Drosophila melanogaster: one gene and its partners. The protein of the gene in region 3 interacts with the protein of the main gene of each other region in a pairwise test. Each region holds a gene or a part of one and is shown on either strand. Other genes may lie near its edges.

Region 1 (5,838 bases), on a different chromosome or scaffold from region 3:
GAGTGGTACTTTTTAAGCAACTGACAAATTGAGCATTTCAGTCATCTTTTCTCTACTTTTCTTATATTTTTCTGGTGTCACTGAACTCTTCAAATTTTCATCGTTATACCCTTGCTAAGGGTATATTGCTTTCAGTCAGGAATTTGCAACGCAGTAAAGAAGACAATCTACAGCCTTTCGCTTTTGATCAGAAACGGACAACCTTATCATATCATATAAAATGTCTAGCAAATCAATGAAAAACTAATCCCAGCTTAGTTGTTTTTTAATCATAATGCGTTCTAATTCGGTACACACCAAATTTGTGATTTGACATTCGATTTTAATTTGTTCAAACTCTGCAAATAATTACTGCAAGGGTGTATAAGTTTCGGTTTTCCGAAACTAGCATATTTTTTTGTTTTTATTTAAAGTAGACGAAATAAATTGAAAAAAGAGAACAGAGAAACACGCGCAAAGCGACGACGTACGACTCAAAAAAAAAAACTAAATAAATAAATAAAAAAAAAAGACAAAACGCGAAACAGAAACAAAAAGCAAGAAAATAAATATTCAAATTCTACACATTGTGAAAATTTTATTGTCGAAATACAAATTGGACGGCGCAGCCTTACTTACATGCATGTATTTCCCGACTTCTCAGATTCTAGGCGCCACGCGAAAAACTAGAAAATCTATTTTCGAAACATTCACAACAGCGAGTGAATCGAGTCGCACCGCACTGAATATGTCACAATTACTCATGTGCTTCTAAAATGCCAAGCGATGTGCATACGAGTTTATACATACAACCCAAATAGACAGTACATCCTATTCCCATTCGATCCCGAGGGGGTTACGTTGCCACACATGGCCCGTTATCAGTGGCAGTTGGGCCTACAGACTTCACCACTCGCGCACCCAACATTATTATGCATTATTATGTATTCATGGACCGGGGGATCGTGTCGTTTTTCACATTTTACATTGCCCGCCAGGCGGACGTTGATAAAATTCTAATGGCCTGTAAGCCAGCTAGCCAGTTAGCCAGTTAGCCAGCTTGCCAGTTAGCCAGTAAGCCGTGATTTAGGCATGTTTCCATTCACGTTGTTGTCACGTCCCGAAACAAACGCTTTTCACACCTTGTTGAGCTCTGTAAATCGTAGTTATGTGCTGTTTCCACCCAGGTCGTGTGTAACTGCAATACCATTTCCTTAAACCGAACTTGAAAATGTTTATCGAAATTTGCATCTTAATTCGTCGTCTGCCTCGCACTAATGGGCAAAAAAAAGTTCGTACCCAATCCTGTCTGGAATATGGAATATCAGTGACATCCAGACAGGGGCGTCTTTGTTCTTTATCTCTATTAGATATCTTTTATGTTCTTATCTCCTGTGGGACATGTGCTCCCGATGCTGCAGAATCTTTCGCTTTCCCGAAAATTGTTGCTGCAGAGCTAGAGCAAGATAGTGGCAACCTGGCGGAAACACACGTCCGACATACATCAGCAGACCCTGTGTGACGCAAATGGATGGATTATGAGTCAGCTAAAGAAGTGGGAGCTGCAAACCCAAACCAAAAGGAATAGTTTGATGACCAGATTGCTTGATATATGAATGCACTTCGTGGAGGCGCTCTGGCGCATTTGGATCGAAGTGCTTCGAACACGTTGCCATCTTCAGTCTGTTTGAAGCTGTCGAACGGTGAGGTTGCCGAGAATCCTATCGTGGATCCAACTTGGGATCCAGATTCACATTTCCGCTGCCGCGTGCGCGGTGCTTCGTGGCCAGTGAGGCGTGTGAATTCAAATGCGGTGGTCAACGCTTTGGTTGTCGCTTTCTTTGTGTCGCCAGTGGTATTTAATCAAAATCGAATAGAGAGCCAGAGTGGCGGCAAAAGCAACAAAACAAAAAAAAAAATGAAATGAAATGAAATGAAACGAAATAAAACAATGCGGCATACAAAACGAGACGAGCACACCAAAATATCGGCAAATCAACCGAAATTATAAAAGAAAGGAAAGAACTCGACACATTGATGTGGAATCAATGCAATAAATTAACTTAAATTTGGTTTTCGCTTGGCCAGCCGATTTCGATAAAGTAGAAAAAAAAGAGAGAGAGAGACAGAGACGAATACAAACACAAATAAATGAAAAATCGTTAAAATCCCGGTCTGCGAATTCGATCAGCCCACGAAATTCGATGCGGCGGACTAGGCCTCCAAAAATATTTATACTTATGTAGAGCTCGGATTTAGGACCTACCTGTCTGCCCAGCAGCGGACCCTTGCTGATGAAGTCCTTCTTGGCCGAGTAGAGCTCCGGCGGTGGTCCTTTCAGCGAATACCGCAGGCCGGACTCCCCAAGGTCGTCCGTCGTCCCACGCAGACAGCGCTCAAGGGCACGCTCATCCTCGTCGTCATCGGAGGCGGTGGCTGAGCAGGCGGATGATACGCAAGAGGAGGAGCACGCGAAGGAGGTACGATCCCGAGCACCGGGAGATTCGCAGACAGTGGTACTATTCGTGCCAGTGCTGTGACCAGAAGTTGTGGACCGCAGTGTGGTGCTGGGATACGCGAAGGCGGGCAGGTCCGACAGCAGGCGATGGCACTCGACCTCCTGGCCGCCGGCGGGCGATTTAAGTGAACCGGCATCCGGCATGGACATGGCGATGACCAGATAAGATAGCGATCTCCAATCTCAGAAATCCGAAATCCCAAATGGCACGTGCAAAAATGCGCGCGAAAGAGCAACAAAATCCACAGTATGCGTATATACGGCTATACGTATATCTTGTAGATATATGTATCTTTACACTTATGTTGGCTCTATGGCTCTTTGGCTCTTTGGCTTTTTGCTTATTTTGTTAATTGAAATGCGACAGTCTCGTTCCGTTGCCGTGGGCACCGCACCCGCCAAAAAATGCGAAAATACGAACGAACAGAAAGGCAAAGACTACGGCTCGTGGGTATTAAAACGACTCACACTTATGGCTGCGATTAGCTAGATAAACTACTTAGTACTGGAGCCATTGTACGATCTCATGATGAATCTTTTTGCCGAATCACAGAATTTATTCGCAGTTGCGGTTGGGTTTTGGCCAATGTTAAGCTTGAACTTCACACATCGCGCCGAATGCATTCACTTTCGAGCTGCACCATTAACTTGGCCACCGTTGGCATTCTGAGTTGCTGGCTTTCTTTTCGCTTTCGGCCAGCGGCTATTTTTGCAAACTTTTCGGTGGCGAAGGTTGTCCCACAACTGAGCACCATGTCAGAGTTCACAAGAACACGCCGATCGTTTGGCATCGGCATCGCTATCGCCATCTGGCCGACATGGCTGGTCAGGATACGGAATACACTGGCGCACTGGGATGAATACGTATTCAAATTCGAATTAGAAATCGCAACTGGATTAATATTACAAATGGAACTTTAGCAATTGTCTGATACTACCGCGCGCGCGCAAATAAATGAAACGGACGAGAACGAGCCGATGGACCAGACCAATGCTGCGAACCAGAGAATTTGTATCTGTATCTGGCGATGTTTCGTTTCGGCTCGCTTGAGTTCCCGCTGCGGACTGAACACTGCTCGCCGAACAGCAGTTGGTAGCGGACGTTCCGCCGTACCGCCAAGCAATCTGAGATCGCGAACATATATCGCTCCGAAAGCTAAAAGCGGTTCTCTCGCAGCTATATGCTGTACAACATACATACATACATATGTACATATGTATGTACATACTCGTATGTAGGCACGAGTATAGGGATATGGGTTTGCTGAATGGGCTTAGGATTTCGATTCCGAAGGAGTGTTTTAGAGAGATTAGAAATACGTCAGAATCATATCAGTACGCAGAACAGCCGGCTTCTCTGCGCAGAGAGCGCTGTGGCGAAAAGAGAGCCGAGCGCGGCTTAAAAGAGCACTCGAACGCTCTCTTAAGTGCGCCTCTGCTTACTCAATATTTTTGCACATGTGAGGATTAAGTGTGTGGACATAATTATCATCGGATAAGATAAGGTGTGTTAGCATAGTAACAATCTTTGCATCTAGAGTATCTGCCTTTTCGGATGAAATAATATAAATATTAAAAAAAAAAAAAATAGGCTTATGCTGCATGCTTTATTCAGTAATAGTTTTTAAAAGTAATCAAAATTTGTAAACATGTTCACACTTGTGTGATACCAACCAATTTGAGTAAGTATGTACTTGAGTAAATAATAAAACTCTTTTTACTTATGACTTATTTTACTAGCCTATGCATTACTAATCGCACCGAGCAGTACTAAAAACTTTGAATACGAATTCTTTTGAAATAGAGGATAAGACCCTGGGCATTACCAGTGGTGCACTTCCGGAAGAAGTCATTTCGGAAGAAAAAAAGGAAGTTGATGATCACAGAGAATGGTACAATGATGACTAGCTCATCAGTATCAAAAAAAATTCTTTTTTTGACGTAAATAAACTGACACGACAGCCTTTACTCAGAAATGCGACAAATATAAAGATATATCTAAATAATCTACACAAGCTGAACAAACATATCGTAATAGTTTAGATAGGCAAGTGTAACTGATTTGTCTCAAATTGGTATCATTATAAACAATACTTTATACTTTATACTTTATATTGTCTCATTTGGGCATAGAGTGTGCGACATCTGCCGGATCCCAGCCCATCCAATGTGGGTCAAGATCAATCTACTGATCGCGTCAGTGAATAAAAATAGTAGCCATTCGCTCCATTATTTGAACGCCGAGAACTCTTCCACATAAATGTCTTCTGTGCCAAATTACCATATGTAGCAATTGACCCTATTGTATACTAAATATTTTCTTTAATCAAACGCAGCAATAAGAATTAATCAATTAAAAGACCAGAGCTCGTTTGCCAAATTAAAGTATAGTTGGAAATTAAAAATCCATTTCGCCGCCGTGGAGGTCGGCGAAAATTTAAAAATATTCCAAAATACGATGATGCATATTCATATACTACGGATGTTGCGAGAATGGTGGACTAATGAAAAACATCTCAAAAGATTCCAGGAAGAGCGTTCTCCATGCAACCATGCAATCGGCAACAAAACGCTTGTTTTGTAATCAACAACAAACAGCCGGCATCCAAATGATGCCAACATAAAACAGCAGCCATAACAGAACATCTTACAAAATAGCCCTAAAAGTCTGGAGGGGGCAAGTGAGTTCCCCAAGAAGGCTGTTTGTATTACACCGAACTAATCATCATGCCCTGTAAGCAATGTTTACACAGCCACTAAACAAAATAAACGACTCCTAGCTGGAGTCTCTCCCCAAGTCACTAATAAATTGCTCAGTCTAGCAAATCGCATACTGATCTGTAGGAAAGCATACGTTCTAAATTAGGAAATATTGCTCAAAGAGGCGCCGCTGGTTTTCAGATGCTAATGATCGAGCCACTGGAGACCGCTGACCACAATGTATCTATCTGTCTATCCATTTTTGTATCTATGCTATCTGCTCCGATCGCATTGTATCATCCTAATAATTAACGCATTTAGATCATAAGGCGGGCAGATAGCCATAAACTTTTGTTTAGCTGTTGATGCTTATATGGCAACAGCATAGATGGACTGGCCCCAACTTGGATTTGGATAGAGAATCACTTTCAGGTGGATACCCAATCCAGACCCCTTGTCCTGGCATTTGTGCAACTTCGATCTGCACGCTGGCGGCCTTCGTGTGGATCGAAGATCAATAAGCGAGAGGCTGTGAAGAGCCCTAGACTACGGATCACTATCGAATTCGAAGTCTTCAGATGTTCGATGTCAGACTGACTGTCTGTTTATCCGTCCGTGCGTCCAACACGCGCAGGCCTCTT
Region 2 (4,358 bases), on a different chromosome or scaffold from region 3:
GGGTGAGTGAGTGACACCGGTCTTGGTTTCCAAGGCAGTCGGCGGTCCATCAATCAGTCAATCAGCCTGCCAGCCAGCCAGTCCGTCAGTGAGTCAGTCACTCCTTTGGCAGACGTCATAGACTGTCAGAAATGTTTGATATGTATGTATGCTGCCCGCTTTCTGTCTTGGAGCCCGTTTCAAAAAGTGAAAGCGAAGGGTTGGCTGTCTGGATGTCTGAATGTCTGGGTGTCCCAAGGGTCGGGGCTTTTGAGTGCCTCCCTGACTCCGACGATCCAGCAACACTTCATTAAACGCATAAAGCAATAAAATGTTCTCTCGATAAGCAAAACAAAGACCATCCCAAATGAAACCCCATAGAAAAAGGCTACGAACTTCGTCTGACAGCTTGACGTCGCCTGCTAATGGCAGGGGGAAAAAAAAAACCAGAATAAATAGAATAAAGGACGGCATCTATCTACCCGAATTGATACTCTCGAGTCCCTGCCAGTTGGTCTCAGTGATTGGGAAGTCCTAAAGCTGCTAGAAGGCTATAATGAAAGTCAAACACCCACTAAAGTTCCTATGGCTGCGCTCGAAATTTTCTTTGATTATGCAAATGTCACAGCTGAGAGGGCAAAATCTGTTTCAATTGGCATCCTGATTTGTCTACAATCTATGTATGTACGAATTTCAGAATAAATGCATTAAAATAGAAGCTTTCATTGAGAAGTTCATTTTAGGATGAAGTAAGTAAAATGAAGTGCTTATATTGGGGTCAAATTCATCTAGAATTGAAATGGCATGCTAGTCATTTCGGGGAATAGTTAACTAGTGCAGTTCAATCAACTTTCCGTGCGCTTTTCCCGTATGTTTGTCACGCCCCCATTAACCCCATGGAAAAAGTGACATGACAGACAGGAATCAGACTTGAGCTGGGGCTCAATCCATCACATCAGTGCGGAAGAGACCAGTCATCATCATCATCGTTGTCGTCAGTGCGCTTGTTCCCCTCTTGGCCACCATCGTTGCCCACTGACCACCATTGTCATCCCCGTATCCGAATATAATATAGAGTAGCGGAATTGTATCTTTATTACGATAATTGCTCATTGAACAGGAAATTATTATATGCGTCCGGGGCTCGGCATGTCCTCCAATTCCAAAGCCCATCAATTTTCTTGGGGAGATGGAAAAATCATCAACCCAGAACTCAACGGGGATATAATAATAGAACAACATGCGTCCGAACAGGGTCCGTTCTTCTCCAAGGGTTACTGGTTCAGGTGGCAATGAGAATGGAAGTGGTAGTGGATTGTGTTTGGGGTTTCGGGCCTTTTAGCTGATGATGACATTTTTCTTCTTTTTTGCGGACGACGCTCAGAAATGAAAAAAAGGACATCACACACGCACAGGAAGGGGAGAGGCAAAAGACAGTGATGGCAAGTGTGGTAAGAGAAGGTACAGATCCTAGGGGTTTGGTGGCAGTCCCCGCAATGGTGGATGATAGTCACCAGCGTAATTACCATAGCCACCGCCATCACAATCGCCCTCGCCAATCAAACCGCTTGGCATCGGAGGCTCCCTCCAGTTCCACACGCCGATACTATCGCCGCCTCCCATATTTAATTCCGTCCTCCGTCGATGTAGCATTACACGCATATTGATCATGAAACGATTCACATCCCGCTGATGATCGATGCGCAATTGAATCGGTGGAATTTGGGTGATTCGACGTTCATCAGTCGATGGCTGTATATTGCGCTCTTCTTCGCCCGGCACGCGATCCATATTCAAGCGAATGCGAAAACTCTGACCTGGATTTGGCCTAAATGGATTCATTTTGAATATTTTAAAGCTGTTCTTACTGAAATTTCGATCGAAACGTTCTGCTGCTGTTGGGGATTTCGAATAACTAATATTTTTCTGACACGGTAGCACACAATACCGATTGATAGAAATCTCAATGAGACCTGAGCATCTGAAATATGTGACAAGACAAATAAAGCTGAATTGTGGAATGGTATTATGTGAAATATTGTACAAGAGATAAGAGATAACCAAAAAATTTGGATAACTAATTCCGACATAATCCGACTGGGGGACTTCCGGTGAAATATCTATGCGATCTATGTGGCCCACAAGTACACATACTTGTGTACGCTCGATGCATATTTAATTAAACTTTCACCTACTCAAAGACGACAAAGAATCTTTGGCGAGGGCGACAGGAGACAAGTCCAGAACACTTTGGTCTCTCGCTTCAATCATTTTCATGGGGTGGATTGGATGCGCTAGTGGATGTCCTAGCTCGAGGACCTGTTACTCTCATCCTGGTTCCTGAAGTACTTAAAAGCAACACGACAAGCTTTAATTAAATCAGTTTTAATTAATGCAAAATGCGAAATTTCAAAAGACGTCGTTGAGCAAGCGCTTGGCTCAAATTGCCGACAACATGGAAAACAGAACACAGAGGCGGTGAGCTCCAAAGGACCCCAAAAAGGATCCGCATCCCCTCGAACGCAACGTTTTGTTGTCGCATAATTACAACTCAATTGTAATCCAATTTTGGCCAGGCATATAAATCCGATTCAGGCACAAAGTCACGCCCCCGGCCTGGTGTCTGTGTCAACTTTTTCGGTGTCAAATAAATAAACTTTTGACAGTCGGCAGACAGGCCAGCGGGGTTTTCCGAGCTCCAACTCCGCCCGAAAAAGCCCATCCGCACACCTTTCGCTTTTTGTGGCCACCACCGGAAATGGAAATTTGTTAACAATGGTGGGTGGATTGGGTTTGGTGGCATGTATCTGGGATGCCAAAATCAATGCCCCAACAGATGGATTAGATACAGACATCTGACCACGAGCTCATCCGTTCAACCCCGTCGAAGGCAGAACTCTTGATAACTGCAAATTAGTTGCACATGTTCCACATGGGCCACAACTCAAAACAAGACGTGTTTGCACTAATTTGGCCAAAATCAACAGCTGTGTGTACATGTGCTGCCATCTTCTGCTCGCTGTGTGAGTGAAGAAAACTCATCATAACTTTCTTATCAGAAACTTACTTCTTGCTCTTCAGATACCCAACAGAAGCGTTCCCAAAAAAATAAAATAAAATAAAAGAACGGGGGAACTAGCGAGATTCTGGGGCGAAAAACGAGAAGGAAAACAGAAAAATTGCCTAGAAAACTTGTTATAATTACACACTGGCACACACACACTGGCACACGTGCTGGATGGCCGTATGTGTATGAAAGTCGTGCACTTAAAGAAATAAAAGCGACTTCGTTATTAATGAAAATTGTCTATGTTTAAATATCATAAGATTTCATCAATGATTTAACTATGTTTGAATCGATTTTTTTGCGATTTTACAACCTCTATTTCATACCATTATTTTAACATGGTTCTGTCATCTATTTTCTCCATTTGTATGACTAACTTAGTGACTGCAGGGCAAGGAATTTGGAAGGGGAGACGTGGAGAGAGGGGGAGTACGAGGGCATGCATGAACAGGCAACATATGTTGGACTTTGGAGCAAACTTTTGCGAGTTTTCGGGGCGCCCTTCCACTATGCCCCTTGTGGCAGCTCCATATATTGGCACCTCCTCATCTCCTCATCGCAGGATTTCGCCGAGTGGAACTTGTGTGTTTTGTGGTTGAGTAGACGCACAGTTTAGGCCCAGAATGCAACAGCTGCGAGAATCCCCACTCTGGAGGACGAGAATGTCGTGGCCAACTCATGGTTGGAGTTTTGCCTGTTGCCGAGAGACCCCATGACAACTTCCTCACTAATCTGCCCGATGAGTCACGATAAGATAGATAATTGCATGGGGTAAGTCCTATTAGGGTTGCTAATTTTGGGGCTTTGGGGGAGCTAACTTTGGATAGAATATTGTGAAAGTTATAGAGGAGGTAAAACAAAAAAATTTGTTTATATTACTTTATTTACTTTATTTCAATGATAATATGTTGCATATTCATTCACGAACTGGCATCAACAAATTGCAATAAAAAGCAAGGGTTTACCAGTGTCTGAAAGGATCCCCGTTAACAATCGACTACCTGATTCCAATACCATTGTTTACCCCTCTCAGAGTGCCACAAAAGCCCCATAATATCTTTAAAAAATAATAATGACAACAGTTTCAATGGAGGTCTGGAAACAATCAGAGCAGCGGCCACATGATGCCAACTTTTCAGGGACTCTTCGCAGAAATAAAAACTCGCATCGAAAGCCGAGGGAATTGTTAACGAAGGCTTAAAAAGAATGGGGTAAATCCTACGAAAAAAAAAAAAACAAACTTTTGGGGCAACTTTTTTTGGTCAAACAAAAAAAAACAAAAGAACAGTAGCGAAAAAAAATCTATGTGGAC
Region 3 (3,886 bases):
TCGAATCCGAAATTCAAATCCCAGCTCAACGTCATCGAAGCGCCGCACTCTGGAGGACTCCGCGATGCATCGCAGCGGGTCTTTGGGGGCTGGGGCGGAATTTTCACTTGAATATTCGACACACTTTGAGCCCGGGCACACACAGCTGGAAGTCGCGAAGGTTTGCAGGATTTCCAGACTCAGATTCAGATTGAGATTCAGGGAGGGGCGCCACAGCGCGCTTGGCTGTCTCAGCGATTCTTGGGGCTATGCATCATCATCATCATCATCGGCCGGGGCCGGCGTCGAAGTTGGAGCTGCAACATGGCAACATGTTGCAATCTGCCAGCTCTGCATGCATAAAATATTATGCAACATTATGCCACAGACACAGGCCAGACGACACTCTTGGTTTTATTTACACTTTTTTCGGGCTGTGGCCACCCCTCGCCCGAAATGTTGCTGCTTATTAGTGCCGGGATGTTGACAGCGTTTAGATCTAATTGAATCGCCCGGATCGCCGATTTCTGTGCCGTCCGTAGAACATTTGGCTTGGCCCGCTCCCATTTGGCCCATAACCCATAAATCTAACACACCGGCACGAGAGATTTATAGAGTTCAGATTGCGAAATGCGCAGAAGCACAGCACAGCGCGCAGCGCCGAGCTCGGAAAATCTTGAAAAATTAAAATGACTAGTGCCGGGGCACGATCAAGACCGTGCTGCCGTCTTGATAGCAGACAATGGCAACTCCGGAGGAGATGGAAAGCCCAAAAGCGAAACCTCAGCGGTAGTCAGCATTGGGGCGTCTGCAGTTCAACGTTCAAGTGGCACAGTACGCCCTAGAAAAATGAATTGATTCGATTGTTTTTCGCCGCAACTCGGGCTCCTCTACTTTATCTGCCAGCGCCGAGCGGAAAAATCTGAAAATGGTTAGACAAAAAAAAAACGAAAAATCAGGGGCAGAGGCAAAGGCAGAGGCAGGGAGCGCGCCCCGAAAAATACTGATGATACAATCGCGTTTTTGACTTTGAAAAGTCAGCTTCGAGTCAGCCGGGCTATTGTTCAATGGCCCAACTGCAGCAGCGGCAACATCAGCAACAGCAGCAGCAGCAGCAGCAGCAGCGGCCGACACTGATTGTTATGGTTTATGAGATGAAAATGCACTCGAAACAATATTCTGGGGCCAATGCAATTTGCGATTTTTAATCAACTCCTCTCGTCAGCACTCAGCAACAGAAGAAAACATCGTATTTGGGGGCCCCTGATTGCAGCTTCCACTTCGAGAATCGTGGCTCCTTCATCTGGCTTTTGATCTTCTCCCCGTCCCCGAGATGATTCCCCTGGCTCCTAGCCTGCATCCACTCGACCATCATCTGCAGGCCAGCAGAGCTGCCCTCCAGTTCGCCGCCCACTTTGCGGCCACAGTGCGTATGCGCGATGTAGCCACACACCTTAAGTTCTGCGGCTTTGTGGGCCACAACTGAAAGCAGGGCCTCATCGGAATCTTCGGGCACACTCATTTCATACGCTAATAGGTAGATCTCTGGCTGCGGTTGGAGTACCAGTTCCAGCGACATTTTTGGGAATGGAAATTTGAGTATGTGAGTTTTCACGGCTTTTGAAAATAAATGATCCAGATTTCCTAAGTTACTCTGCTGATGATATATAATCGAAAAATTTGCGTGGAGTAAACATCACTGATCCATCCAAAGGTAAGCATTTAAAACAAATTCTGAATCTTTAAAAATGCTATACTTTTATATTTATATAGATTTTCGTAAAAAGTATTTTTATAAACTATCAGGAAACGTATTTTAAAACAAAATGTCAATTAATAATTATGCTTTGCGTAAGTCATCAGTTTAATCAATTTAGTTTAAAAACAAACCTACACGCCAGTAAATTTAGCTTAACACTCAGTACAATCCAAAATTATAGCCCTAAGTTATTTGCATATCTTTCAGCAAAACTAAACAAGAAATGACATTATTAGGGTCCTACGATTGGATGTTCAATGAGGATATTCAACTTAGGACCGAGTTTAAGTTGTACAACATAATGTCAAGGAACCAATTTCCGCGTCGAATTCTTCAATATTGCCACAAAAACCATATAACCGGATACATAGTATTCACCCACGGGGGCAAACAAGCATTTGGAGTGATGGATGGCAAGCGGAAAGATTTAAACCGGATAAAGCCCTACCTTCTGAGGTTTTGCATTCCAGAACCCTTTAACCAACGAGTCACTTTTTCAGCCTACGAGTTATGCTTCAATCCGAACAAAGAGAAATTTAATATTAAGGATAGAGTTCCTAAGGGCGCCAAGTTTCTGGGAGATATATACGAGGACTGCTTTCTGAGGTTCAAGAATCAAAAACCGGAACCGGAAGAGGAAACCGAGGCAACTAAAGCCTTGTTCGCAAAATATTCCGACTTCTTTAACTTAAAATATTTCGTCAATTGTTAATGGACAATATATAGCTAAGACTATGCCAGCACAATTCCCGATTCTCTTTAGTCGCAGTGATTTCTCGCAGTGTGGATGCGACTCGTGCTGGCCATTGTTCAACACTATTTGCGGCACTCAATCTCTTAATTAAATATGCGACTAACTGGCAGCTCGGAGGCACTCGAAGAGTGGCCCAGACATCGCCGTTTAGTGTCGAAATTGTGCAAGTTTTGATTTTCCTTTTGTTGTTATGGAAGTCGCTGTTTGTATTTTTTTTTTGTTTTTGTTTTTGTTTTGGCTTGGTTTGGTTTTCTTGTTCGCTGGATAATCACAGGCCCGGCGAATAGACGGCAGAAATTAAATCAGCCAAGGTTATCGCATTAATAAGCCCCCTGGTTTGGGTTTTACAGTTTTCTGAGCCAGTCAATTATTAAATTTGCAATTTCCGTAGCTGAACTTTTGGGGTCAGTAGACTGATTTAAATCAAAACCGTAATTGAGCATTGCCCGCGAGCTAGAACCAATCGCACCAAAAACCAAATACCAAATACCAACCTCCGGGCAGGAAAATTGACAAATGTTTGATAGCTAGCTACCTTTTCGGATTGCTTGTTTCACGTGCATTTATTTTCCTCCAAAAGCGGATGTGGGGACGCTGCGAATCCGATTCAGAAAATGTACAGAAAAAAAATCGAAAATCAAAAACTCCCAGCTAAGTGGCTTTCCATGACATTTTACTGACACTCTTGCCGTTGAACTGGAAGACCTGTTTTCATTTTCCCTCTTAGCGCAACTTAACACATTTGACGAAGATGTCTATGCCAGCAAATGACGTGTCATCAATGGAGCCCGCACTCCCACATAAAGATGCACAGCGTCCTCAACTCGATCTCGGATCTCACATCTCGCATCTCGTACCCCGGCCACAAATCCCCAGCACTTGAAGCTTGAAGAGATCTGTTGGTGCTGTTGTATTAATAAGCCTGACATTTGAGCAGAGCATCCACTCGAAGCCATCGGGTTTCGGTTTTGCGTGTAGGCGTCTGAAAATAATAATTAAAAAATCGTTTCTAATGCGGAAATCTCGCGTTTTTGAGCTGGGGGTGAGCTTAATGCCGAAGATGTTAGACAAATATATCAGATTTCTATTTCTTTTTTTGTCGCGCTCCTCGCTTTGGTTAATCTTCCAGTGGACGGTTGTGGGGGATCGGCAAATCGGTGACATGGGTAAAGATGGATCGTTGGGAAAGCAATTGAACAGTGGATCGTCAGAGGTGAGTTGTGGAATCGTATGGGACCACAAGATGTAAAAAGGTGTAAAAAAGAAAAAAAAAATCAGCTTCCAAAATGTTTTTGATTTGTAGGCACGTCAGAAAGTTGTAAAAACATCCAAGCGGCAATGTATTAGAAACATGAAAATTAATTGGCTATAATAAAAAATAATATCTTTAGGTT

The links. Proteins that work in one complex are often made in the same cells at the same time.
Region 1: the proteins of CG15167 (region 3) and AdamTS-A interact in a two-hybrid assay, tested with the Drosophila melanogaster proteins (one large-scale study listed by BioGRID).
Region 2: the proteins of CG15167 (region 3) and CG15576 interact in a two-hybrid assay, tested with the Drosophila melanogaster proteins (one large-scale study listed by BioGRID).

What each region holds. Positions count from the first base shown.
Region 1 is NT_033777.3:15,472,642-15,478,479, forward strand, and holds the start of AdamTS-A (ADAM metallopeptidase with thrombospondin type 1 motif A), read right to left. Parts: upstream 3,553-5,838; 5' UTR 2,648-3,552; coding exon 2,246-2,647; intron 8-2,245; exon of another isoform or gene 1-7.
Region 2 is NC_004354.4:4,250,818-4,255,175, forward strand, and holds CG15576 (uncharacterized protein), read right to left. Parts: upstream 1,974-4,358; 5' UTR 1,822-1,973; coding exon 1,450-1,821; 3' UTR 1,053-1,449; downstream 1-1,052.
Region 3 is NT_033779.5:18,738,082-18,741,967, reverse strand, and holds CG15167 (uncharacterized protein), read right to left. Parts: upstream 1,611-3,886; 5' UTR 1,559-1,610; coding exon 1,208-1,558; 3' UTR 1,161-1,207; downstream 1-1,160. Other genes in the region: CG42752 (uncharacterized protein), read left to right, coding at 1,962-2,450.